Linked DNA regions of Callithrix jacchus. The protein of the gene in region 3 interacts with the protein of the main gene of each other region in a pairwise test. Links are inferred from orthologs where the notes say so. Each region holds a gene or a part of one and is shown on either strand. Other genes may lie near its edges.

Region 1 (5,210 bases), about 38 Mb from region 3:
TCCACAACCTTAGAAATGCCAAAACTCCTAGCTACTCAAAGAGGCTGAGGCGGGAGGACCACTTGGGCCCAGGAGTTCAAGATTGCAGTGAGCTACGATATGATCGCACCACTGCACTGCCGTCTGGGCAACAGAGTGAGATCTATCTCTTAGAAGGAAAAAATTCCCAAGACTTTCAGGCACACTTCTTCTAAGCTAAACAAGTTCACTTATGAGCAAAGTGTTCAGCGTATTATACCCAAAGAAAAAGCTAAAAGTCGGGGTTTCAAAGGATTAAAAATAATTTAAAATTGTCCACAAACACACTGATCTCTACCAACTGACAAGGACACAGCAACTAGACCTAAGCATAAGGCTCAACTGTCCAAAATACTATTTTTCAGTGAATTCTCAAAGAATCCATGAAGAAAGTCAGTGTCTGTCAAGCCACCACAAGGGCTGGGTGTGGTGGCTCACACCTGTAATCCCAGCACTTTGGGAGGCCAAGGTATGCAGATCACTTGAGGTCAGGAGTTCAAGACCAGCCTGACCAACATGGTGAAACCGCATCTCTGCTAATACAAAAAATCAGCCAGGCATGGTGGTGCGTTCCTGTAGTCCCAGCTACTTGGGAGGCTGAGGCAGGAGAATCACTTGAACCTGGGAGGTAGAAGTTGCGATGAGCCAAGATTGCGCCACTGCACTCCAGCCTGGGCAACAAGCACAAAACTCACTGAATATGCATCAAGTCAAAACCAATTATTCCCTGGTCGGCCCGTGAGCACACACACAAAGGAGCAAGGCTGAGAGGAAGAAACAGAAAGACATGTTTCCTTTTTTTGTTTTTGTTTCTGTTTGAGGCAGAGTTTCACTCTTGTTGCCCAGGCTGGACTGCATGGCATGATGTCGGCTCACTGCAACCTCTGCCTCCTGGGTTCAAATGATCTTCCTGCCTCAGCCTCCCAAGAGGCTGAGATTTACAGGGACCTGCCAACACATCCAGCTAATTTTTGTATTTTAGTAGAGACAGGGTTTCACCATGTTGGTCAGGCTGGTCTCAAACTCCTGACCCCAGGAGATCCACCCGCCTTGGCCTCCCAAAGTGCTGGGATTACCGGAGTGAGCTACTGTCTCCAGCCTTCTTTTTCTTTAAAAGACAGGGTCTTGCTATGTTGCCCAGAATGGGCAAACTCTTAGGCTCAGGCAATCCTCTTGCCTTAGCCTCCCAAGAAGCTGGGATTACAGGCAGGTACACCATTGTCTATCTTCTAAATATTAATATCTCAATCTCGTTTTTCAGAGATCACTTCTATGCAACCACTTAAAGACCCCATGTGTTAACACAAGCTTTTAGAGGGAGGGACAGATGAGACCTGTATTTCAAAAGGGAAAAAAAAAAAAAAAAAGTTTAATGATTTGCCTTGAAGGTAAATCCATAGGTAGGCCAAAACCTTCCTTATTCCCTGAGGTTCTCTTCTGATTTGTAAAAGGAGAACAGAATAGCCAAAAACATTCAGTAAGACAGTCAAAAACCAAAACTGTAAGGCAAAAATAACACGATGAAAAAGGAATGGAGACCCTGGGAGAGCCCAAAGCAGTCACAGATTACTGAAGTCCTTTAAAGAATACAAATTCTGGGCCAGGCACGGTGGCTCATACCTATAATCCCAGCACTTTGGGGGGCTGAGGTGGGAGGATCACTTGAGACCAGGAGTCACAGACCAGCCTGGGGAACAGAGCAAGACTTCTTCTCTACAAAAAAAAAAAAAAAAAAAATTATATATGTATATGTTAGGCAGGAGTAGTGGGCCCACCTGTGGTCCCAGCCACCGGCAAGGCTGAGGTGGGAGGATCACTTGACCCCGGGAGATCGAGGCTTCAAGGAGCCATGATGATGTCACTGCACTCTAGCTTGGGTAGCAGGGTGAGACCACGTCACTTAAAAAATAATCATCATAATTCCATCACATACCAGCTCCTTGCCCCAATATTATCTAAGATATCTAAGAACTTTCCAGCCATGCGAGGTGGCTCAAGCCTGTAATCCCAACACTTGGAAGGCCGAGGCGGGCAGATCACCTGAGGTCAAGAGTTCGAGACCAGCCTGACCAACATGCTGAAACCCCATCTCTACTAAAAATACAATTAGCTGGGCATGGTGGTGCATGCCTGTAATCCCAGCTACTCTGGAGACTGAGGCAGGAGAATCGCCTGAACCTATGAAGCGGAGGTTGTGGTGAGCCGAGATTGTGCCACTGCCCTCATCCTGGATAACAGAGCGAGATTCCACCTCAAAAAAAAAAAAAGAACTTTCCTTCCTGATCAAAAACTCGACCATACATACTGCCATGCTGAACACTTTAAGATTTCCATCGTGGCGTGGCGCAGTGGCTCACACCTGTAATCCCAGCACTGTGGGAGGCAAGGTGGGAAGATCGCTTGAGCCCAGGAGTTCAAGACCAAACTGGGCAACAAGAGCGAGACTCCATCTCAAAAAAAAAAAAAAAAAATTCCATCTTCCCTCATTTCGCACCACTTCAACATGAACCCTCAACTCTAGACGTTCCAATGTGCATCTCAACATTCTCAATCCAACCTTTAACTCTATCGTGATTCCTTTTCAACCAACGCTCTCAAGATTCCCTCCAGTGTAAGCAGTTTCCCTAGCCATCTTCCAAACCTCTACCTTTCACCTAACTCAATCCCCAAAATGTCACACTGGGCTCCTCACCCACAGCATCCTACTAATTAGCTGTTTCCAACAGGTCCTCCGTTCCCGTCTCCCTTTTTGCGCACGATTATCTCGTTCCTCGCCCTGAGTTGCCTCCTTACCTCACCCAATCCGTCAGGAGCCCTATTACCTGTCTCTCAAAATCCTTCCTCCCCATTTTCCCAGTATGCGCTAGCCCCAGACCAATAACCGACCATTCCTCCCTAGACTTCCCACATCCTCTCTCTTCCAGGTTCTTCCGATCCAGCCCCTAGGCCCCCGCCCCTCAAGCCCCGCCCCCAAGACCCTTCTCCCCCTCCAGCCCCTCCTCCAATGCCCCACTCTCCTCACGCCCCGCCCCAAGCCCCCCTTCCCCGGCTTTCCCTCCCAGGCAGGTCCGCAGGTCATTTCAGTGACGGACCCAGCTGCCCTGGCCTCTTTCCAACCTGGCCGCAGCTGCTCTGGGAGCGAATCCTTCACCGCCTACACTCCGGCTTCGTCTTGTACAGCTCGCCCCCCGGCAAGCTCTCCCTCTCGCCGCCGCCGCCGCCCCTTTTGCCAACCCGGAAATGGATCTGCTCCCACCGTCCCCAGCATCCGCGAACAAAATGGAGGCGGGGGGGAAAAGGAGGAGGGAGCAGGGAGTGAGGAGACGCGAGACGCATGCGCTCCTGGGAAGCTCGCCCCCTGCCGGCGCAGTTACAGGCGGAAGCGGGTGAGTGGCTGCCATCTTGGGAAGGTCGCAAGGGTTCCGCTTACCAGATAAAAACAGAGTTTGCAACGTTAGCTGCAATTGGAATTACCTGGCAAGATTTAAATAACTATGATGCCTGGTTCCCACTCCCGGAAATTCTAATTTAATTTCGGGGTGCAGTCTAGGCATTAGGAAATTGTGCAGGTGATTCTAACGTGTTGTCTAAGTGGAGAACCACTGAGCGAAACAGTCATTTTTTAATATACTCCTTTCGTCTTTAATCCGCCGCACACACACACCCTCCCTGCTAAATATCTTTCCCTAATCTCGAGTTAACCAAGAACCCGCATCAGCCAACCTTGCACAGTCCAAGCAGTCAAGCTCCGGTTGGCATAGCAACCGGCTGCCTCTGCTCACAAGTCATCCTTTACGTCATCTTAGCCACCTGACCCTCGTCTCTTCTTTCTCGGGCTGGGGTTTCCTCCAGCTTCCAGGGCTGTCGGATGGTGCTATGGACTCCTCCAGCTGCTTGGGCCACGGAGAGAAATCCTGTGCCCTCCTTGATGGAGCTGCTGTTAACCCCTGACAGCTGACTAAGGATCTCTCCCTAGTCCACCCTGAAAAGCGCTTTCCATTATAGCTTCAAAATACTCTTTGGTTTAATTCCGTTCCTAGCACAGAATCCGAAGTAAGGGGACAGGACTGGGACTTAGTCACCATTACTTACAAGCTGTGTGCCCTTGGGCCTCAGCTACCCTATCTGTAAAATGGGTCTAATAGTGCCTGTCCCGTCTGTCTCATAGAGTTGCTGGAAGGCTGAAATCAGGTAATGAATGGGAAAAGATGTAATAGGCCGTAAGTTATTATTTTTGTTTTCCTTCTGTTCTGCCATGAGTAGTACTAGGCACCACCCACTACTAGTCAAGTAAATGTCACGTCTAGTACCTGCTAAACACCAAGAAATGGCTGCAGAGGTGACTAAGACAGAGTCTCTGCCCTCAGGGAACTCACTACATTGGTGGGTAGACTGGTGCATAAACAAGCTAGTTGACATACAAGTCAGCATGTGACTAGTGCTGTCGGATATCAGAGAAGGGAGTGACTAATTCCTGCCAAAGAATGGAAGGAGGTTTCCTAAATGGTTTGGAGCTGGACCTTGAAGGATGAGTGGAATTTTATTACTAATAAGAGAAGGCACTGAGCACATTGCAGGCATGGGATCAGGGACACAAGGTAAAGATTTTCAACTGTCTACATCCTGCATGCCCATAGGTGGGGCGATGGAGCCAGGGAGACAGCAGGTCTAAACTCCTTCCCAGAGCCTCCCAGCTCTTCAACCTCATCTCCTGCCTATTCCCTCCTCACTCACTTTACATTATGAGGACCTGATTTCTATCACTGCAATGTACCCCATACAGCAGTTCCTATCCTCTGCCTCTTCCTCATTTTTCTTTCTTTTTTTTTTTTTAAATGGCGTCTCCCTCTGTTGCCAGGCTGGAGTGCAGTGGCACCATCTCGGCTGACTGCAACCTCTGCCCCTAGGGTTCAAGTCATTCTCCTGCCTCAGCCTCCCAAGTAGCTGGGACTACAGACTGATGCCATCACGCCCAGCTAATTTTTGTATTTTTAGTAGAGACAAGGTTTCACCATGTTGGCCAGGATGGTCTCGATCTCTTGACCTCATTATCCACCTCTCTAGGCCCCAGTGTTCCTTTTTTATAACACATATTTTGCAACACTACTATCTGTGAAATTAACAGATAATATAATATGCCTGGATACAAAATTTCATAAAACAAATCAATATGATGTCTTGATTATAAAAAA
Region 2 (4,921 bases), about 9.2 Mb from region 3:
ATGGAGAAGGCTTTGTTAGGTTTCAGCAGAGGAGTCTTGATCGGATTTACATTAATCAAAAGTCACAGGGCTGGTCAGGTGGAGGATGCACTGTAGGTACAGAGTAGGGGCTGGGAGAAGAGGTGGCAGGCCATCCCAGCTCAGGCAACAGGGGGTGTATTTGACAAGGCTGGGCTTGGATGCGCACACTGGACGCAGCCACACAAACTGAACACTTACTTGGATCAATGTCTATGCAAGGCCAAGAAAAGCTGCCTATCAAAGAAACGTGTTTGGGAGGCACAGTCCTTGTCCTCAGCTTATTTCCTGTTTACTTATATTAGGTTGGTGCAAAAGTCATTGTGACTTTTGCCATTACTTTTGCATTAACCTAATAGTAACCTCAGACTACACAGACAGGTGCCATGCAAACTGAACAACCACTGAGTCAGTGCATACCAGTGGCTAAATAAGTGCAAAGGCGGAATTGGAAAAGAAGCACCCGGGGTGCTCCCTGGAAAAAGTTGGAGCCTTCTTTAGATGGGCCAAGCATTCCATTTTTCCAGCAGGAGGGGCACCGCCTCCCCCTAGCCTAGTCCGTGCCTCTGGTGGCTACCAAAGCTGGGTGGTCTAAGAACCTGGCTCCAGGCTCCAGTTTCTCCACTCATTCTGAGCTGAGAAGCAGGTGACTCAGGGGAGGCTGCTCCCCAGCACGCAGCGTTCTTGGCTGGGAATGACTCATTACCTCGTTCCCTCCCTCGCGAGTGACCCGGGGCCAGTCCCTCAATGTGTCTACACCTCACTCTTCTCATCACACCGGGACAACTGCCTGGTGGAGTTTTTGGCTCCCCGGGGGCAGGGCTCCTGCCTGCCACTGTCCAGGTTCCTCCTGAGGCTGCTGATAGGGTCTGGAGGAGCCTAAAACCCTCAGGTAGACCCAAGGCCCAGGCCCTCCCCGTGCACCGAAAGAAGGTTTTAAAGCCGGTGCCTGTGCGTTCTTTTAAATGCAGAGCCGTTCAACAGCATTTTGCACCGAATACAATTAGCAAGCATTCCTGTTTTGGAGGGTTTTCTTTTGGACACCTCCTTGTTGTAAAAACTTGCTTGGGGAAAAAAAAAAAAAAAAAAGCAACTGGAGCAGGCCTCCAAAGACAGCAAATCAGGGACCTGAGGTTCTGGGAAGAACGCGGGCGGAGGGTGACAACGGATCTCAGTCGCAAGGGGGACCTGGGCGGCTGGACGCCGGGGCTCCAGGGTACAGGCGGCGACCGGGTCAGGGCCCAGGGCCAGTGCTCTCCTGCTCGCCCTGCGCAGCCGAAAGCTGGTGCGGTGTCGCAGGGAGAGGATGCCCTGCAGCAGGGGGAAGGCAGGCTAGGGGTGCTCGCCCGAGTCAGAGACCCCAGCCCGCGCCGAGGAGTCTCGCACTTTCCAACGCTGCAGGTCGAAGCCCGGAGACGCCGGGCGTCCCCACCTCCTGCCTCTCGAGCTGGAGCGGCGTCCGGGGTTCTCCCCCGGCCCCGTCGCCTTAGTTTGCCGCCGGACTGGGACCCGCCAGGTGGATCCGGACAGGCGCAACCTGCTCTCCGCCCGGGACCCTCCCCCGAGCCCAGGCGGCCTCCGCGCCCCGCCCCGCCCCGCCCCGGGCCCGCGCCCCCGATTACCTGCCCCGGAGTCACAGTCCACAGCCCGGATGCTCCGAGGCGGGATCCGCGGAGCCCGGAGCCACATTCCTAGGGGAGGGGTCTCCACCTAGAGGGTCGCGGATCACGTTACCCGCCGGGAGGAGGAGACCGCGGGAGGCTGAGTAAACCAGGGGTAAAAAGTTGCATTTGGCTCATTCTTTCTTTCTTTTTTTTAATCGTGCTTCGACGCTGGTGGACTCGGGGACACGCCGTCCTCCCAGTTCCCGGAGCCCGACGGCCCCGGGGCGCTTTCCCAGGGCCAGAGGCACCTCTCCGGCCGGCGGGTGCGGAGCTGGTCTACGGGGCCCTGAAGGCGACCCCTGTTGCCCGCGGGCTTCCTGGAAGCGGGGCCGCAGGAGCAGAAACGCTCACATCCACGCGCACAAATAAATCCGTGAGCTGCTCCGCGCCGCCAGCGGCAGGGAAACCGCGGGCTGATTCAATGCAGACGCGGGGCGTCTGCCCGGGCAGGAGCGCGGTGGGTCAAGAAGACCGGGCGTGGGGGCAGGGAGGCTGGGGCAGGAAAAAGAGAGAAAACCCCAAAGCCACGTTTCAAAACTGCGGGTGAATTTTCAATGCCGGCCGCCCGGGGGAGGGGTGGGGGCCGGGCTGCGGGCGCCGGGGCCGGCTCGCCACCCGGGGCAACTTTCCGGGAGGGAGGCGCGGCCGGAGGGGGCGGCGCCGGCGGCGGGAGGCGGGAGTCGGGGGCCGGGGGGAGTCACTTTAAAGGCTCTTTCTTACCCATAATGCTTTGTGGGGACGTTGACAAGTGGATCCAAGATGGCGTAGAAAGTAATGACAGGTAAGTCCTGACTTCCCCCTTCTCTGCTCCTGGGGCCGCTCCGCGAGCTCCCGGAGCTCTCCGGGGAGCTGACCCGACTACCCTCCGGTGTCCGGGTCCCGGGGCGCGGCGGCCCCGGGGCGGGCTGTGGGCCGGGGCGGCCCGCGGCGGGGCCTGGGAAGCGGGGCTCTTCGAGGCGAGGCCCGGACGCTGGGGCTGTTTACAGCTTCTTCCCTTACTCAGTCCCCGTCCCCTCCGCTGGGGGCCGCGGCGCCCTGGGCCCTGGCCGGGGAGGGTGCCTTGCACGCCGGGCCCGGGAGCCTGCGGGAGGTTTCTCCGGCCCGGGGCACTCTGGGAGGGGGACTCGAGCCTCCCTGCACGTTCCCCTCCTCTGGGTCGCGGCTGGGGGTGGGGAGCGTGCGGGCCTCCCACGCCCTGCTCGATGCCCCCCTCAGGGCTCGGACTTCTACCGGGTGGGGCGGAGGCCAGAGCTGGGGTCCTCGGGAAAAGTGGGTCAGGGGTGCGCTCCCTCCCTCCCCCGCGGAGGGCTTTTGGCCCGAGATTCACTTTCTTCCCCCCTTTCCCCGCCCCCTCCTCGGAAATGCTCTTTGGCCCACAAGCACATCAACAAAAATAAAGATAGGCTCTCTTTTCCTGGAGATTCCTTGAGAGTACTCCAGTACCCTTTTCAAGGGCTCAGAGACTGCAGTCTTACCTAGGGAACTTTGATTCCTCTCCCCCAAATTATTGGAGCCTTCTGCACCCTAGCCTTTGCTGAGAATCTTTCAGACAGGGCAGGAAGTCAGGCTCCTGTGATTCTTCTCGGATCAGGATCCTCAGGTTTTGTTTGCAGTTCAAAAATTGTCATTCCTTTTCCCTCACAACTTACACTTTTAAGGCAAATCATTAATATAATACAGTGTAACTTCAGAGACAGTGGATTCCTGGAGTGGGGGAAGGAGGGAGGAGTTGTCTGTCTTGCCTAGTTTGTTCTTAATTTTGCTCTTTCTTAAACGCATATTAATAAAATTTCCTCTCCATTGCTTTCTGGTTTTGAAAGTAAGGTCAGTCCGGGTTGAAAAAGATAACTATTATGTTTTTTAGTTTTAAGTGCATGGAATAATCTATTCTTTTATCTTACTGAAAGGAAATGTTATAAGGTCAAAGAAACACTCACTTGCAAAGCTACACACTGTACCATTTTTTAACTTTTTCCATTTCAAATTTAGATGCCCTTTCACTTAAGGCTGATAAAATGTTTGCTGCTGATAATGTCTGTTACTGGTGTTGTATAGACACATCTTTTCTATTTGCCTCAGGAATTGGATGAAGTAATTGATCACTAATGAACTACAGTGCTGGTGAGATGTGTAAGGTGAGACTGCAGTTAAAAGTTATTTCCTTTTTTTCCTTCTTTATTTTAATCAATCCGCAAGAGTAAGGCTGAAACTGAGTAATTTGGTGGGGCCATCTTTGTTTTCCAAATATATCACTCAGTCAAATGGGTCTGTGAGCAGGGCTAGATTTAGAAAGGAAAAATATGTTGAATGTACCAATCTTTTCAGTTGCTCTAACATACTCAAACATAGTGGTACTTACTGAGAGCCAAACGTTACTTGCAGCTATTCTTGATCAGTATCTTCACCAGGGGTAATTATAGTTTTCCTAATACAATTTTCTTGCATAACTTTAATTGGATGTCTTAATTTTATTTGTGTTTTGGTGTCTGTCACCTTCTGTACATTTAGTGCTGGTGATTGTGTATATGGATTTTGTATATTCATGATTTGTGGGACTCTTGTAAAGTACACCCTTTCCATTGGAAACAATTAGGCAGGTCAATCACTCCTGGTTTTATTTTCTGAAAAATTGAGTAGTATTTTGTCTCTTTAATAGTTATTTTGAAATAAAGATGATGGTGTTGAGATCTGTTTAGCTTATTAGGGATAAGACTAGTTTATCATTATGTTCTGATCACACATGGTATGTGAATTCAAAGTGCTTCATTTAATCTAATTGGTAATGCTTTGGATTTAAAGGATATTATTGATACGGTGTTAGTGAACAGTTTTCTCTGCTAGAGAGAGGAAGAGAAGTTTGCTACTTTTACATTTTTCACAAGCAGTTTTCTCAACCTAAAATATTTTACTAAGTTTTTTTCTTTTTTTTTTAGAAAAATGTAATTGTGGTCAGTTGATTAGTTACTGTAGTTCCCCCCCCCCACCACATCTGGGCTTCTGGATTTTGAAATCCTCTCACAAATTTTTCAGGTTTGTCACAACATCTGTTTAAGAAGAATAAACTGTGCTTTTTTTCTCTAGATTGAGGCATATCATTGACATTTTGCCTTAAAAAAATAAGGAAAGGAAGATGGATATAGATTGTTTTGTAAGTGCACATACCACATTTTCTTGTATTTGAAACTCAGCAGTGCTTATGTTTACTTCATATAATTTTTATTTTTGGCAGAGCAAATATA
Region 3 (4,437 bases):
CAGGTGCTGCCTCTGGGGAGTTTAAGGGAAGGGTGTTGCTTTTTATGTTTGCTTTACGTACATCTAGGCTATTTCAATTTATATTCATTATTTTACACCTTAAAGAGGGAAAAAACCTGCCTAGTGGCAAGATCTTGGGGGTCTAGGAAGAAAGTGAGTTTGGCTGATGAAGAAGCTTCACCCTCTCCCAGCAGTGTGGGTAGTGAAAGCTGAGGCCATCTGTGGATTTTCACTGCTGTTCCCAGTCAGATGCATGCTGCATACACTTATATTAGAAGCTCAAGGCCCCCAATATGAGAAAAGATTTAAATTGTCTCAAAACTGTTAACTGTCCTTTTATGTTTGTTTATTTAGAGATGGAGTTTTGCTCTTATTGCCCAGGCTAGAGTGTAATGGACGATCTGGGCCCACTGCAACTTCTGCCTCCCAGCTTCAAGTGATTCTCCTGCCTCAGTCTCAGGAGGAGCTGGGATTATAGGCGCCCGCCACCATGCCTGGCTAATTTTTTGTCTTTTTGGTAGAGATGAGGTTTCACTGTGTTGGCCAGGCTGGTCTCAAACTCCTGACCTCAAGTGATTCGCCCCACCTCAGTCTCCCAAAGTGCTGGGATTACAGCCTGTCCTTTTATATTTAGAGAGAATTCTGTTCTAGTGATAATGTGATACCTCTTGTGTGGCCTGATTTCTAGGCACTGCAGGCCTTAGCCCTGAGTGATTTGTAGAAGCAGGAGGATCTATGGTCCCCGCTCCTCAACAGCCTGGCAGTAGAGTATGCGAAATGAGAAAGCTTCCAGTAGGCAGACACCGGACTGTTCAGAGTTACTAAGGGCAGCTTCTCAGCATGTCCTTCCTACAGTTCACATCTTTCTGTTTGAATTTGAGTATATTATTTTAGGGACATCTTGAATATGCTTACTTATAAATAAGATATGCAAGTTAGATTTACAACTTTAATGGACTATTTGGTCCATTAAAGGACTTTTTATATTATAATTACCATATTAAATGAATGCCAATTTTCATGTAAATAGGTCTTTATTAGCTGTAAATAACTTTTGCTTTTAAAAATGATAATTAAAGATGATTTTGAGAAGAGAACATGGTTTTCACAGTTTCTCCTTCCTAATTAGTTATAGTTTTCATTTGAAGTAGCCAGGCAGTTTGACTCCAAGCTCATGTAGAAGTGTTCCTCTCCTCTTCTTCTTGATAAGCAACAGCCAGTTGCTTCACAGGTTTTCATGAATTTAGCCACTTTTTCTTCTGGCCAAGGTGAATCAGCAATTGGGAGCGGAAGAGCCTGTAACTTGCTTCAAAATTTTGAATTTTGCAGCTAGCTGCTGCACCTATGGTAAATTACAATATTTCTGGTGGCTTCTGAAAGCTGAACTCTGAGCAGTGACCCCAGAGGCAGGCCTTGAGAGAAATGCTGACCTTAGTTACTGGTGGAGGCCACTCTAAGACAGTCTGAACCTTTTGCCTTTGGGCTATTAGCAGAAGTAACCCTGCCTCCAGATCCTGGGCCTTCCAGTTTTCCTCCCCACTTTCCCTTACTCCCACTGTGGTAAAGCTGCGACCTTATCACATGGCTGCAGGAAGGGGCCAGTCTCTCGTTGGCAGTTCATCTTGTATACCAAACCCAAAGGCCTGGGCCTTTCCCCGGGTGCCTTTCTGATGAGTCAGTAAGAAGTCCAGTGGGCTTTGGCTTGTGAGGCCTGTTTGCAAATGGCTTCCTCTATAAAAAGAGTGACCCACAGTTACTGCCTTGGTGAGTTGCTTTCTGGGAAATAGAGTAGGGTAAAGACATTTGAAGGTCCATCTCTGGGGGACCTGACCAAATGTTGATATTGGGCACTGTGAGGCTGGAGGATGGGGAGGGAGGCCCCTTCCTCTGGCAAGGAGTGTTATGTTCCTCACAGTTCGAAGGCTGGATTTCCCGTTTCTTTGTGGGGAAGCAGATGTTGACCATTGCCTTCCTTCCTTAGGTGGTTTTTTGGCAAAATCCCCAGAGCCAAGGCAGAAGAAATGCTTAGCAAACAGCGGCACGATGGGGCCTTTCTTATCCGAGAGAGTGAGAGCGCTCCTGGGGACTTCTCCCTGTCTGTCAAGTAAGTATTTCCTGCTGTAGTTGCCTGGAATCCTGTCTCTGACTGATGCAAATTGTGACGCCTTCGGACAGGTGGCTGGCTACACAAAATGGTGTAGGCTTAGCCTAAACAGTATCTTCATTTCACATTAAAATCCTCATTTCTGGCTCCTCTCAAATTAGTTCTAGCAGCACTGGATGTATATTCCCCTGTGGACACAGCCTTCAGGAGGTCAGCAGCAGCTCTCTGCAGCCAGCCCAAGCCTGCCAGTTTTCCCTAGTGCGCAGCACTCCCGAGCTGCTGCCCTTCAAGGGATTCCCGCAACTCTTTCTAATGGGATAGCGGAGCGCCTGTTGGCTGCCTTGGCTTGCCTCGCTCAAGTCCACTAGCTTCAATCCACCAGCCCCATCCTAGGCCCTCACAGTCACTTAAGAAGGCTGCCACAGGGGATTTGGGGCTTGGGTTTCCCCTTTGGAAAGTTCAGATGGGTGAAGAAGGAAGTTCTGCCACCTTGGAACAATTTTGGAGAATAGAAATTAGCACTTGAAGGAAACAGTTCACACCTCATCTGTGAAGTAAGAATTTGGAATTAATTTGTTATTTCTGTGTCTTTTACTTTTTTTTTGAGATGGAGTCTCGCTCTGTCATCAGGCTGGATGGAGTACAGTGGCACAATCCCAGCTCACTGCAACCTCCACCTCCCAGGTTCAAGCGATTCTCCTGCCTCAGCCTTCTGTGTAGCTGGGATTACAGACACCCACCACCACACCTGGCTAATTCTGTATTTTTAGTAGACACCCTGTTGGTCAGGCTGGTATCAAACACCTGACCTCGTTATTCACCCACCTCGGCTTCCCAAAGTGCTGGGATTACAGGTGTGAGCCACTGTACCCCCGGATGTGTTCTTTTTCTAAAGGAAGGCATGAGAGATTCCACATGATATTAGTAATACCTTGTAAATATATTTAAGTGGAGTTAGTCTTTATTCCCAACATATGAAAAAGCCAAAATTGATATACTAAAGGGGTCTGATGAAGAGCATCTTGGGGTGGGTTTATGTAACTGAGACTGTATAAGATGAGGGGAACAAGCAGTAAATCGCTGGGTGGCAGCCAGAACCAGGAGGCAGCCACATGCTCGACTGGAGGCTGTTTGCTCAGCAGAAGCTCCCAAGCTTCCATTTGCTCAAGTAGAATCTTACTCTTTTTAATCTTTTTTTTTCTTTTTTCTTTTAATATATATAGAGATGGGGTGTCACCATGTTGGCCAGGCTGGTCTCAAACTTCTGACCTCAGGTGATCCACCCATCTCGGCCTCCCAAAATGCTGGGATTCCAGGCGTGAGCCACCGTGCCCAGCCATCTCAAGCAGAATCTTTTAAGGATTTAGTGTATTTATTGTTTTAGAAACAAAGCAGGTGTCATGACTGTCTTCAGCAACACACACCTTTGTAAAAGAGGTTCAAGAATCAACAGTCTTCAGATGTTTCTTAGTTTTAGGATGTTTTGAGCCTGTGATTTGAAACATAGTAGTTAACATACTGCTCATTATTGGGGCCCTGGGCTCTTTTAGAAACCATCTGCATTGCATGGGTGGAAGTGGGCCTCTGTGGGCCAACAGTACCATGTAAATATACCCTTACTAATGAAGCTTTCTCACCTTCCTCATTTTGTCTTGCATGAAAAAGCAGTCTTTTTTTTTTTTTTTTTTTTTTGAGGGGCATCTTGTACTCAGTGGCTGCCTTGAAGCTCAGTGCTGCCACCTGCCGGATTGATTTTCTGAAGCCTTTAGTTGTAAGACTGAAATTAAGGAGGGACTCATTCATTCATTGAACAAGCACTCCGAGAGTACCTTTTTAGTGCTGGGCAAGGTGAACAGGTTAGGCAGAAGCGCCCTCGCTGGGCTGGTGTTTTAGCCAAATATCCTATGACAGACCCTGTTAGCTACTACCAGACAGTCACGCTCTTGCCAGTTTTGCCAGCCAGTATAAAAGGGTGAAATCTGGTGATGGAAACACTTTTGGGTCTCAAAGCCTGGACCTCTTTTATTGTCCCAGTATGTCCTTTTGCTCAGAGACCTTTTCCCTATGAGTGGAGCTAAAATTCCTGAGCAGAAAACATGACTTTGAAGTATTCCCAGTTACGAGAGAATTGTTGAAAGTATTTCCAGCCCTCCTCACCTTCTTCCAGCCTGCTTTTCTAGTCTTTGAATATCACATGTAAGATACTAATTTTTGATTCAAAGGAAGTTAGGTCACACTCCTTTGTCTTAAGTAAGAACATGGTTTATGTGGTAGGGTGCAGGGCACATGGACTAACCCTACAGACATCTTCAGAAGTAGAGTGAATGGTGGCC
Region 4 (4,906 bases), on a different chromosome or scaffold from region 3:
TATTTGTAACTGCCCAATGGGTTCAACTTGCCCGCTGCCTAGACAGAGCCCATTTATCAAGACGGTGAAATTGCAATGGATAAAAACGAATTCATGCAGAGCCAGCTGTGCGGGAGACCAGAGTTTCATTATTACTAAGATCAGTCTCTCTGGGCATTCTGGGATGAGTTTTTAAAGATAATTTGGCAGGTAGGGGCTTGGGAAGTAGGGAGTGCTGATTGGTCAGATTGGAGATGGACTCATGGTGGGGGATCAAAGTGAGTTTTTCTTGCTCTTTTCTGTTCCTAGGTGGGATGGCAGAACTGGTTAAGCCAGATTACCTATCTGGGTGGTATCTGGTAACTGAGTTCAGGGTCTGTAAAATATCTCAACCACTGATCTTAGGTTTTACAACAGTATTGTTATCCCCAGCAGTAATTTGGGGAGGTTCAGACTTTCAGAGCGGGAGAGAGGCTGCATGAACCCTAAACTGTAATTTCTAATCGTATAGCTAATTTGTTAGTCCTGTGAGGCAGACTGGTCCCCAGGTAAGAAGGGAATCTTTCTGGGAAAGGGATATTACCAATTTTGTTTCAGTTAAAACATAAACTGAATTATTTCTCAATGGCTACACCCAGGAGTGAACAAGTACACTTTAAAGGTTAGAAGCAAGATAGAGTAGGTTGTAGGTCTGATTTCTTTCACTGTCACAATTTCCTCAGTTATAATTTTGCAAAGGTGGTTTTATAGTCCCACCCTCCTGCTTTTATTCAAACCGATACACAGCCTTGATATTTTAACAATATGATCCGATTGTTACTATACTGACGAGAACTTTCAAATGCACTCTCCCAGCGGCCGCATCGTCTTAGTGAGTGTTAACTTTTGTTTGGGGCCTGGAGGTGGCAGCTCTCTGAACTGGACAGAGCCTCCTTATGAGCAGGAGTTAGCTCTGGCAATGGAGTAGAGCTTCACGTTTCTCCACGTTTGCTGTGGATCCTACCGTATTTAAGGATGTGGGTGGCTGAGGATAAATCCATCCCCACTGGCGGCAAAACGACTCAATTCCGACCGACTGGTGGGGTGAAGCGGCATCTTTTCGAGGGAAGAGTAGCACGTTGTCCCTACACAGTAGGCAGGAGTCAGATGCATACGGACCTTGGGTCTCCGTGGGGTTCACTCAGATTTTAAATCCATCTTTAAAAATGAATTTGATTTTCAGACATCTGAAAGTTGGACCCGCTGTTTTTGAGAGCAGAGGGGAAAGCGTGGGAAAAGGTGTTCCCTCCGGCTGGGGGAGACTGACGCCAGCAGCCACGAGGAGGTAGAGAGGATTCAAGGGTTGAGGGGAAAGGCCCTGAGCTACTCCCCTTCCAGTTCCCTCTCCTCTGCAAACTCCTGTCCCAGGCGCCCTGGCCTCGGCCCCCTCGCCCCGCAGGGGAGCGGGACGGGGGAAACCACTGACTCCAGCCCCGACAATCACGCCCCGCCGCGCTCCTCTGCCGGCCGAGGCTGCGGGCGCGGAGCCCCATTGCCTGCGGGGCGGGCGGGCGGGCGGGCGGAGGGCAGGGCGCGAGCCGGCGGGGCCTCGCGGCGCGTCCACATGTGGCGGGGCGGCGGGGGGGGGCCGGGGCGCCGAGGGGGAGGGCCCACATCTCGGCGAAGTTCCCGGATGGTCGCAGCCTCCCGGCGCTGAGAGCTTTTCCTGCCCGCCCGGCTCAGCCCTGCGGACCCCGGGAGAAGTTTCCCAGAAAAAATGCCCCGCGCGGCGCGGGGCAGTGGAGTCGTCCGGAGCCGCTGTGCGGTAAGGGACGCGTCGCGTCTGGCGCGACCGGGGTTCCGGGGTCCCGGGGGGGGGACACCGGGTGGGGCTGGGCTCGATGGCGGGGCTCAGAAGCGCCGCTTGGAACGGTGATGCGGGCGGGGCGGCCGGGGACGTCGAGGCCGCGTCCCCTGAGAGCGGTGGGCGCGATTCCGGGCCCGTGGTCCGCGCGTTCTGCTCTGGCCGATGGCCCCGGGAGGAAGGGGCGGTGGACTGCCGGGGTCCCGCGCCTTGGGCTGGGCGCACCGCTGGGCTCCGCGGACCCAGGGCCGCCCGTTGGGGCTCGAGACCCACTATCTCCGTAGTTCCCGAGTAGGGGCTTCGCGGCGATGTCCTGGGGCCGCACCTACACCCCACCTAGGACGGAGGGGGACGTTCGGGCATCCCCTGGGGCCGACTCAAGCTCTGGCACCGCCCGCCTGCCTGGCTGTGGGAACCGTGCCCCTCCCGCGCTCCAGCCCGCCTCCCTCCCGGCGCTCCCGGGCCGCCCGCTTGCTCCAGGTCCGTGTAGACTGGCGCGTTAGGGGTCTGCGTCGGCCTCAGAGGCACGGCCAGTCCCCGTCACGACTTTTCACCACGAGTGGGGATGGTTGAGGGGGGTGCTCCCCCGAACTCTCCAGACAGCTTCACTGCAGTCTCGCGTCCCCTACCTTTTTCCACTACACACACTTTTCTTTTTAAAGAAAGAACTGTTAACGTTGCGAATGTAAGGGAAAGCAGCTGACCCAGTCGCTGTGAGCTTTTGTTAATCGCTAAAAGCTCCAAGTCAGATCACTGGTGGTTGGACTTTGAGGTCTTTGCGATTAACAAAGGGTGTGGCTGTGTGAGGAACTCATCCTGGCGAGGTCTTCTGGTCCTGCTTAAATTGGAATATTCCTTCTTCAGCCACGGGCTCCTGGCCTTACTGAGTTCTCTGGGAAGCCTTTCAAGTTGGCTCAGTGACCAAGTGGACTTGGTCCCTTTCACTGAAAAGCGTGTGTCCGTTCTACCCCCTCTGGACCGCTCCTCACTCCCATTCCCCCATCCCTGGCTGCATGTAGCCTCAGACTCGAGGAGGGTGCAGCCGCAGAGCCCGTGAACATATTCCACGTTGGGTGGGTTTTCTTTTGCCAGCTTCCCAAAGCAATTGCAAAACAATACTGTAGCTTCATTTTGAGTCGTTGGTAGGTTTTTTCGTTATCAAAACTGCTTATTTTTGTAATGGATAAAATAACACCAAGAAATGTTCTACTTTAGTTTGTAAATCACCTTTTTGTAATAACTTCTTGAGATGAGAAACCCCTTGATAGGCTGTCAGCACTCTGCCTCTTAATCCCTTTCCAGTGCACACAACACTGCCTTCTACTGTGACTGTGTGTGTCTACCTGACCCTGTCAGCCCCACAAGGCTGCGTTTCTCCAAGACCTGGAGGTGCTATAGTCTAAACCCCCAGCCACCTGTGAGAGCCTATTACCTGTTGAATAGAAATGTTCAGACTAAACTCTGTAGATGTTATGAAACTAGTTCAGTAATATTATCTTCCTTCCTGGGACCTACCAACCCCTGTCATATCTTTGGCTCCATGAAAACATCACTCTTTTAGGTTGTGTGATGTAGTGCAAAGAGATTTGTAAGCAAGGTAAGATCAAATTCCGGGATATTTAAAGAGAATGAGATTATTTCCAGCTGGGGAAATTCATGCCAGCTGGGGGGATATGTTCATTTTACAAATTGTCTTTAATATATTCACCAACTTTCTGGTGCCCTTAGTCATATCATGCAATTTGAGCCTCATTTACCTCATCCAAGAAATGGGGTTGATAATCTTTGCTCTTCGTCCACTACAGGGTATGAGGATCATGTAGGATAAAGGGGTGTGAAGGAAGCAGCAAAAGCAGCGTGATACAGATACTATCCAAATACCATGCAGTGTGTAGCATAGCACCAAGACACAAAAACTATAATGGGCAGAAGGGTGGGTGGTGAAGAGAGGGTAGTATGCCCTGACCTTGTACATTTACTGTCTCAGGTGCTATGGCCAGACATGAACCCCTTTTAGCAGACAGTATTCATTACTGGGTCTGTGTCATTATCTTTCCTATTTCAAGGTGTTTCTAACTATGGTTGTAATTTTAGGAACATAGGTGGTTTCCACAACACATACTGAGAGAATAAATGAAACAAAAGTGCCTTTTATTTTTTGCTATAACCCCTTCGCTTTCAAGCATCTGACATTTGGCATTTAACTCCCAGGGCTGTGGTCTTCCTGAAGCCTTCCCTCCAATGCAGTCTACTGAATTCTTAATGGTTTCTGCACAGAGGTCTCTCTGCTGCTGTTTCCCAGCAATCCACAATTATACCATGGTTCTTGTAGGCTTGGTAGGCTTATTTATGCCTTGTGGCTAGCAGGGACCCACATAGAATCAGGTCACAGTTGGAATCAAGCCAGATACTCATTGAGCATCTCAGGTCCCTGCTAGAGGTTCTAGCTATACTCTGTGCTAGGTAGGTGGGTAGAAAGGAAGACGTAGCTCAGAAAGAGATGAAGTCTGCACCTGAGTGCTAACTTTCTGGTAGAAATGACACACAGTTTCAAACAGCAGGAATGCAGGCAGAATTTGGTAAATAAGGTGAAAAAGGTACAGACCAAATACAGGGAATTCAGAGGCGTCCAACTGGATGGAGGCAGCCCTTCATTCATTTCTCCACTTAACAAATATTTATTAAGTGTTTACTGTATGCCAGGCATCAAAAGATTAATAAGCACATTCACATCATGTCCCACCATCTCTGCCTCAATTGAGGAACAGTTTAGGTTTCACCTCCCTGTGACAGATGAATACGTCCTCACTCAGCCCTAACTTTTGTTTGCTAGGGCAGACATTTGTCCGTTGTTCCTCACTCTGTAGGTGTTATAGGTATGTAGATCAAGTCAAAATAACTTAAGTCTGTCCCTTGTCTAGTTTTGAGTAATGAAAACTCTAGGTGTACCAAAGCTTCTCTTCCTTTGTATGTTGAATCCGATAAGAATTGAGTTAGTTGAGTGATGCTATTCTGCGTAACACACCTTAACTAGTGTGCTAATCCTTAGCCACAGGTGTGATGAGAAGCTTATAAAAGCTTGAT
Region 5 (5,158 bases), on a different chromosome or scaffold from region 3:
AGTAAGACAAACTTTTAGTATTACCAATGAATTAATCAATCTCAATGTTGAGGGATTTTTTTAAAACTACAAAAGCCCACTTGATACATTTAGAACTTTTGTAATTATTCAAACATATTGCAAGTAGCAAAACAGACCAGATATGAAGAAAGCAGTAGCACACCTGAACATAAGCAGTTAAACAATACAGCTCCAAGATGAAGCCGCTCAAATCAGGACTCATCAAGGTAAAGTGTATTAAAAAGCTTCCCCTACTTTCCAAGTCTCTGGCTAACTCCAACGTAAACTCCATGACATTACACCAAAACTAAAATGCAAAAAGTACCACATTTCACAAACACTAAAGGAACACCACAAAAATCTACAGGTGAATAAGTGTGTAAAGATGATCTAAAAAATCCTTCTGAATGGCACTTTCGTAGGTGCAAAGGAATACAATGATGTGCGTCTATGTGCGTGAATTTTGAAGAAAAAAAACAGCTAAAAAATATCCTTGGAGACTACAGTACCTTCATAGAATAGGTACAGATCAAAGTACATGCATAATCAGTGTTACAAGCCTTAAATAGAGGAACTCTGCAAGATTCCTATTTCCCAATTGTTGCAGGTTAACTGAAATTCATTTTACATCTTTCTTATAAAAGCAACGAATTCAAAGCATTTGTTCCGTCTTTCCATATTCACTCTGAAATGAAGCCTACTTAGAAACATGTTCTCCAAGTTCTCTACAAACTCAAAGGGTACATTTAACTCCATTATGCACTCTCACTGGCAGATGGAAGGATGACGTTGAGCCTGTTCTCAGGGAGTTAAAGAGATGCTCCGTAGTAAAGGGGAACATCTTGTGGGCTGTCAGATGGCCAGCCATTCTTCATCTTCATTATTCCAGCAAAGAAAAGGTCCTCGCCCATCAGGATAACACCATTAAACTAACTGTAAGAAGAGAATGAAGGGGATGATGGAAGAAGTCTCCCTGAACTTCTCTGACAAAGGGGCTGGTCCACAACTGAATGAACTGAAGAATCCGGAAAGCTTTTAAATAAAAATCTTGATCTCCAAATGTGTTTAAAAGTGTAAAAAGACAAACACAAAAACACCAAAGCTAATGCACATTTTAAACTTTTGTATAATCAGTTCATGTTCGTAGTTCCTGACTGGAACTCTTTCAACTTCTAACGTTGATTTTCAGGTACATAACTCCACAAAATTGTTTATCTTTTTTCTTCCTCCTAAAATGATAAAGTGAATGCAAACTACAAAGAACATGACCCTGTTCTCACAACCTGAAAATCCAGAGTTTCAGACATTTTGGTCTCACACCAAAACTGGAAGATGTGAGATGAACTGCACTCCATATTGATTCTTACAGCAAATAAGAAAAAGCAGGGGGAAAAAGCTAAGAAGGGTAGGTAAGACAAAACAATTGTTAAACTTCGCTTCTAATCTGAAATCTTGGACCTCGCACACACAAAAATCAAGTTTTTACATCCTATTTAACAGAAAATATTCTGCAAAGGAGAGAAAATTTTGAAAAGGGTGGAAAGTAGAGAAAATAGAGTAAGTACAATGAGGAGAAAGGATTCGAAATTCTTCATTTACCAAGAACAAAAAAAATTAAAACTTAAATTGCATAGAAGCTCTTACTCATAAATGCACTGGCATTTCCCAAATTAAACTGCACGGGAGCAACAATACAGGCCATTTCTATACAGCACCCACTTACGAGCTCTAATTCCAGAACACACACCGATATGACACAGTGTTGCAACCAATGTATTAGGAGGCAAAGAAAATGGTTGGGCTACTGGACGTCTTCGATCAGCTCATTCAAATACCTTTAAAATTAATTAAGGGACAGGGAGAGAGGAAAAAAAAAAAATGGAATAAAGGAGCACCGAGTAGAAAAGATTAAGAGGAACGTGGAAGGCCGGGGCTGCCGAAACTAACCTGTGCCATCGCTGGCCGACGCCGAGAGGGCCGGAGATGAGAGTTTAGGCCGCTTGGCTGAAGGCGGCCCCGGTTCCACCACATTCTCGGCCATTTTTAATTCTTTCGGAGATACAGGCGAGGAAAACCAGAATCCTCAGGAAATCTCTTCGGCCCGGGGTCCCCGCCCCGCACCCAGGGGTGGGCTGGGGGGCTCCGACGGCACCCGAGGGGGTGGGGGAAGTTCCTTTTTCTCTTCGCCGGGTCGCAGTGGCTGGAGAGGGATGCGGACTCGATAGAAAAGGTAGGGGCAAGTGCTAGGGGCCGGGCCTGGGCCCAAGCCCGGAGGAGGGCACAGGAGCACAAATTCACCGAGCGCGTCTGCTGCGGCGAATTCCCGAGAACTCGCGGCTCTAGAGGCGCAGTCCCCGGCCCGCCACGGCCGGCCCCTGCCCAGCCGAGGTCTCTCGGAGCTCCGCCGCCGCCATCAGCCTCTTCCTCCTCGGCGCTGTCCTCCTCCTTCTCATCGCCACAAGGAGGCGGGGGCGAAAAGGGGGGAGAGGAGGAGGCGACGAGAGACACTCACCTCCTCCCGGTGCCCCCTCCCGGGCCTGCGCCCCCACCCTCCGAACCCTCCTCCTGCCGCTGCCGCCGCCGCACCGGCCCCTAATGGCCGCAGAGAGCTCAACCGAGCCGAGAGCCAGGCTGGCGCCGCCGCCTCACATCGCACGGCGGCCGGCGGAGGCGCGGCAAGAACGCCAGGCGCGGAGCTGGCCGGCCCAGAGGACCGAGGGGGCCGGGCCGAGCAGCGCCGCCCGCCCGCGCCGACGCCAAACCCACCGAGGAGGCCCCGCTCCGGCGGCGGCGCAGGCGGCCCCTCCTCGCGCCGCGCTTCTCTCCTTCGCCCTCCTCTCGCGCGGAAAATAAATAAATACGGCCGCCGCTACGGTCCCCTCCGCCGGCGGCCAGGTGCTGGGAGAGCCCGCCCCCCCGGGGCTCCGCTCGGGGCCGACCGCGACGGCGGGCGAAGGCGCCGCGGGGCGCGGGGTTATGTAATGGTCCCCCCTAGGCGTCGACGCCGGCCCCGCTCCCGGGCCGCGGTGGGGGTGTGTGCGGACGGGAGGGGGCTAGGGGTCGCCTCAACCCGTGCGCCCCAGGCCCCCTGCCACTGTCTCGGCCCCAGCCGCCTCTCTCCGTCCCGGATCCCCTCCGCACTCTCTGGCTCCCGCAGTTCGCACTCAGCTCGGCGTCCCGCTTGCCCACTCTCGCCCGCTCCCTCTCGCCTCTCTCCCCCCCAACCTAGCACACAAACAAGATGGCGGCTGTTGTTTCTTCCCTCTGCCGAATCCTCCTTACAGGCTAGCGGTAGCGGCGGCGGCCGGAAATGAGCCAAAGGAGGGGGGTGAAAAAGGGGAGGGGCCGGGCCTCCGAAGGGAGGCGGGGCCTAGGCCCGAGCCGCTCACACAATGGGGGAAGTGGCGCCGGGGGCGGGGCCGGTTCCAATCACGGGATCCGCCCTAGTCCCCAACGCGGTTAGCGCTTCCGCAAACTCCCCCGGCGACACCCTGTGGCTCCCTTTAAAGGGGAGGATTTTTAAGAGGGGAGAGGATTTTAAGGGGGGAGGGGTGGGGGCGGACTCAATCTATTTTCTGTCGGTCGATAGTTACGAGGGAAGGTTCCTGGCTTTGGTCTCTTGTAGGGGACCGGTGGGAACCTGGGCGACTGAGCCCGGGAGCTGCGCCGAGGAAGACGCCAAGTCGCCACTTAGATGGCCAAAGGGGAGCGCCCGTGGGGCGGCCCTGCTTCCTGGCCTTTGAGTGGCGGGTCCCCCAAACCCCGGTCGAATCCATAAGCCAGGGTGTACCCACTGCCGAATACCCAGTGCATCCTCACTTCTCCATTGGCTTCCCAAAGGGAGTAGTTCACATCCAAAAAGCACGTTGATTACGAGTTGTTTTCAATTTCCTCTGAATTTTCCTTTTTTTTTTTTTTTCCACAACGAGCATATATTACTTTGACCAGAAAACAAAAATCACAGCAGTGGGAAGGAAGATGTTTCGGCACCAGACCCAACATTTCTTGCCCTCCACGTGTGTCCGTCCATACGCCCCTACCAGGTAGCACTCTCACCACAGAAGTCTTTCTTTTCTGAACACGCCTGGGACCTGAAGACATTTTTAGGTTTCTTTTTTCTTTTTTTTTTCCGTCTGCTCCCAATAGATCAAATTAATAAAAGACCACGTCAAGCCAGTGCCTTATCTAATGTAATTATGGGAAAAAGCAAAAATGTGGTAAAGGTAAGGATGGAAAAAAGCAAAAATGTAACGGGGGGAAAGTCCAGTGTGTGGGACCCAGCAGTTTTGCAGCTGAGGTCGGAGACATGCTTTCGGGTTTCTACACATTACCCTGTGTTTTGACCTTGTGTAAATTGTTACTGGAGAAGGTGGTATGGGTGTAAGTGACCCCCAAAGAAACTCACAAACTATTATCTATTGATATGGTTTAAAGCTTTTTCTCAAGCTGGGCTCAGTGGCTCACACCTGTAATCCCAGGAACTTTAGGAGTCCAAGACAGGTGGATCACGAGGTTGGGATTTGAAGACCAGCCTGGGCAAGATGATGAAAAGCCACCTCTACTAAAATACAAAAATTAGCCTGGTGTGGTGGCACGCACCTGTAATACCAGCTACTCAGAGGCTGAGGCAGGAGAATCGCTTGAACCCAGATGGCAGAGGTTGCAGTGAGTTGAGATCCTGTCACTGCCACACACTCCAGCCTGAGCGACAGAGCAAGACTCCCTCTCAAAAAAAAAAAAAAAAAAAAGTTCGCGATGGCTCACGCCTGCAATCCCACCCCTTGGAAGGCTGAGGCGGGTGGATCGCCTGAGGAGGGGGAGTTCGAGACCAGCCTGGCCAACATGGTGAAAACCCGTTTCTACTAAAAATACCAAAATTAGGCGGTATGGTGGTACACACCTGTAATCACAGCTACTTGGGAGGCTGAGGCAGGAGAATCGCTTGAACCCGGGAGGCAGAGGTTGCAGTGAGACGAGATTGCACCATTGCACTCCAGCCTGGGCAACAAGAGCGAGACTCTGTTCCAAAGGAAAAAAAAAAAAGCTTTTTCTTTTATTTTATATCTCATGTTCTGTAGTTTGTATTTGCGAATTGTTGGATTTTCTTTGGTTTCTGTTATTGTTTCTGTTTGTTTTGTTCTTTTTTTTTTCTTTTCTC

Evidence for each region. The genes of interacting proteins can lie anywhere in the genome.
Region 1: the proteins of GRB2 (region 3) and WIPF2 interact in binary tests that used the Homo sapiens proteins (3 or more experiments, as listed by UniProt). The link is inferred for Callithrix jacchus from reciprocal best matches to the Homo sapiens genes GRB2 and WIPF2.
Region 2: the proteins of GRB2 (region 3) and HELZ interact in a two-hybrid assay, tested with the Homo sapiens proteins (2 studies listed by BioGRID and IntAct). The link is inferred for Callithrix jacchus from reciprocal best matches to the Homo sapiens genes GRB2 and HELZ.
Region 4: the proteins of GRB2 (region 3) and WIPF1 interact in binary tests that used the Homo sapiens proteins (3 or more experiments, as listed by UniProt). The link is inferred for Callithrix jacchus from reciprocal best matches to the Homo sapiens genes GRB2 and WIPF1.
Region 5: the proteins of GRB2 (region 3) and EP300 interact in a two-hybrid assay, tested with the Homo sapiens proteins (2 studies listed by BioGRID and IntAct). The link is inferred for Callithrix jacchus from reciprocal best matches to the Homo sapiens genes GRB2 and EP300.

What each region holds. Positions count from the first base shown.
Region 1 is NC_133506.1:93,036,266-93,041,475, forward strand, and holds the start of WIPF2 (WAS/WASL-interacting protein family member 2), read right to left. Parts: upstream 3,267-5,210; 5' UTR 3,136-3,266; exon of another isoform or gene 3,111-3,135; intron 2,963-3,110; exon of another isoform or gene 2,812-2,962; intron 1,732-2,811; 5' UTR 1,639-1,731; intron 1-1,638. UniProt on the Homo sapiens protein: Plays an active role in the formation of cell surface protrusions downstream of activated PDGFB receptors. Plays an important role in actin-microspike formation through cooperation with WASL.
Region 2 is NC_133506.1:122,057,197-122,062,117, forward strand, and holds the start of HELZ (putative helicase with zinc finger domain), read left to right. Parts: upstream 1-1,655; 5' UTR 1,656-1,794; exon of another isoform or gene 1,795-2,174; intron 2,175-2,402; exon of another isoform or gene 2,403-2,795; intron 2,796-3,761; 5' UTR 3,762-3,817; intron 3,818-4,921. UniProt on the Homo sapiens protein: May act as a helicase that plays a role in RNA metabolism in multiple tissues and organs within the developing embryo.
Region 3 is NC_133506.1:131,226,099-131,230,535, reverse strand, and holds part of GRB2 (growth factor receptor-bound protein 2), read left to right. Parts: intron 1-1,981; coding exon 1,982-2,104; intron 2,105-4,437. UniProt on the Homo sapiens protein: Non-enzymatic adapter protein that plays a pivotal role in precisely regulated signaling cascades from cell surface receptors to cellular responses, including signaling transduction and gene expression.
Region 4 is NC_133507.1:54,781,815-54,786,720, forward strand, and holds the start of WIPF1 (WAS/WASL-interacting protein family member 1), read left to right. Parts: upstream 1-1,640; 5' UTR 1,641-1,783; intron 1,784-4,906. UniProt on the Homo sapiens protein: Plays a role in the reorganization of the actin cytoskeleton. Contributes with NCK1 and GRB2 in the recruitment and activation of WASL.
Region 5 is NC_133502.1:191,897,762-191,902,919, reverse strand, and holds the start of EP300 (histone acetyltransferase p300), read right to left. Parts: upstream 3,267-5,158; 5' UTR 2,042-3,266; coding exon 1,948-2,041; intron 1-1,947. UniProt on the Homo sapiens protein: Functions as a histone acetyltransferase and regulates transcription via chromatin remodeling. Acetylates all four core histones in nucleosomes. Histone acetylation gives an epigenetic tag for transcriptional activation.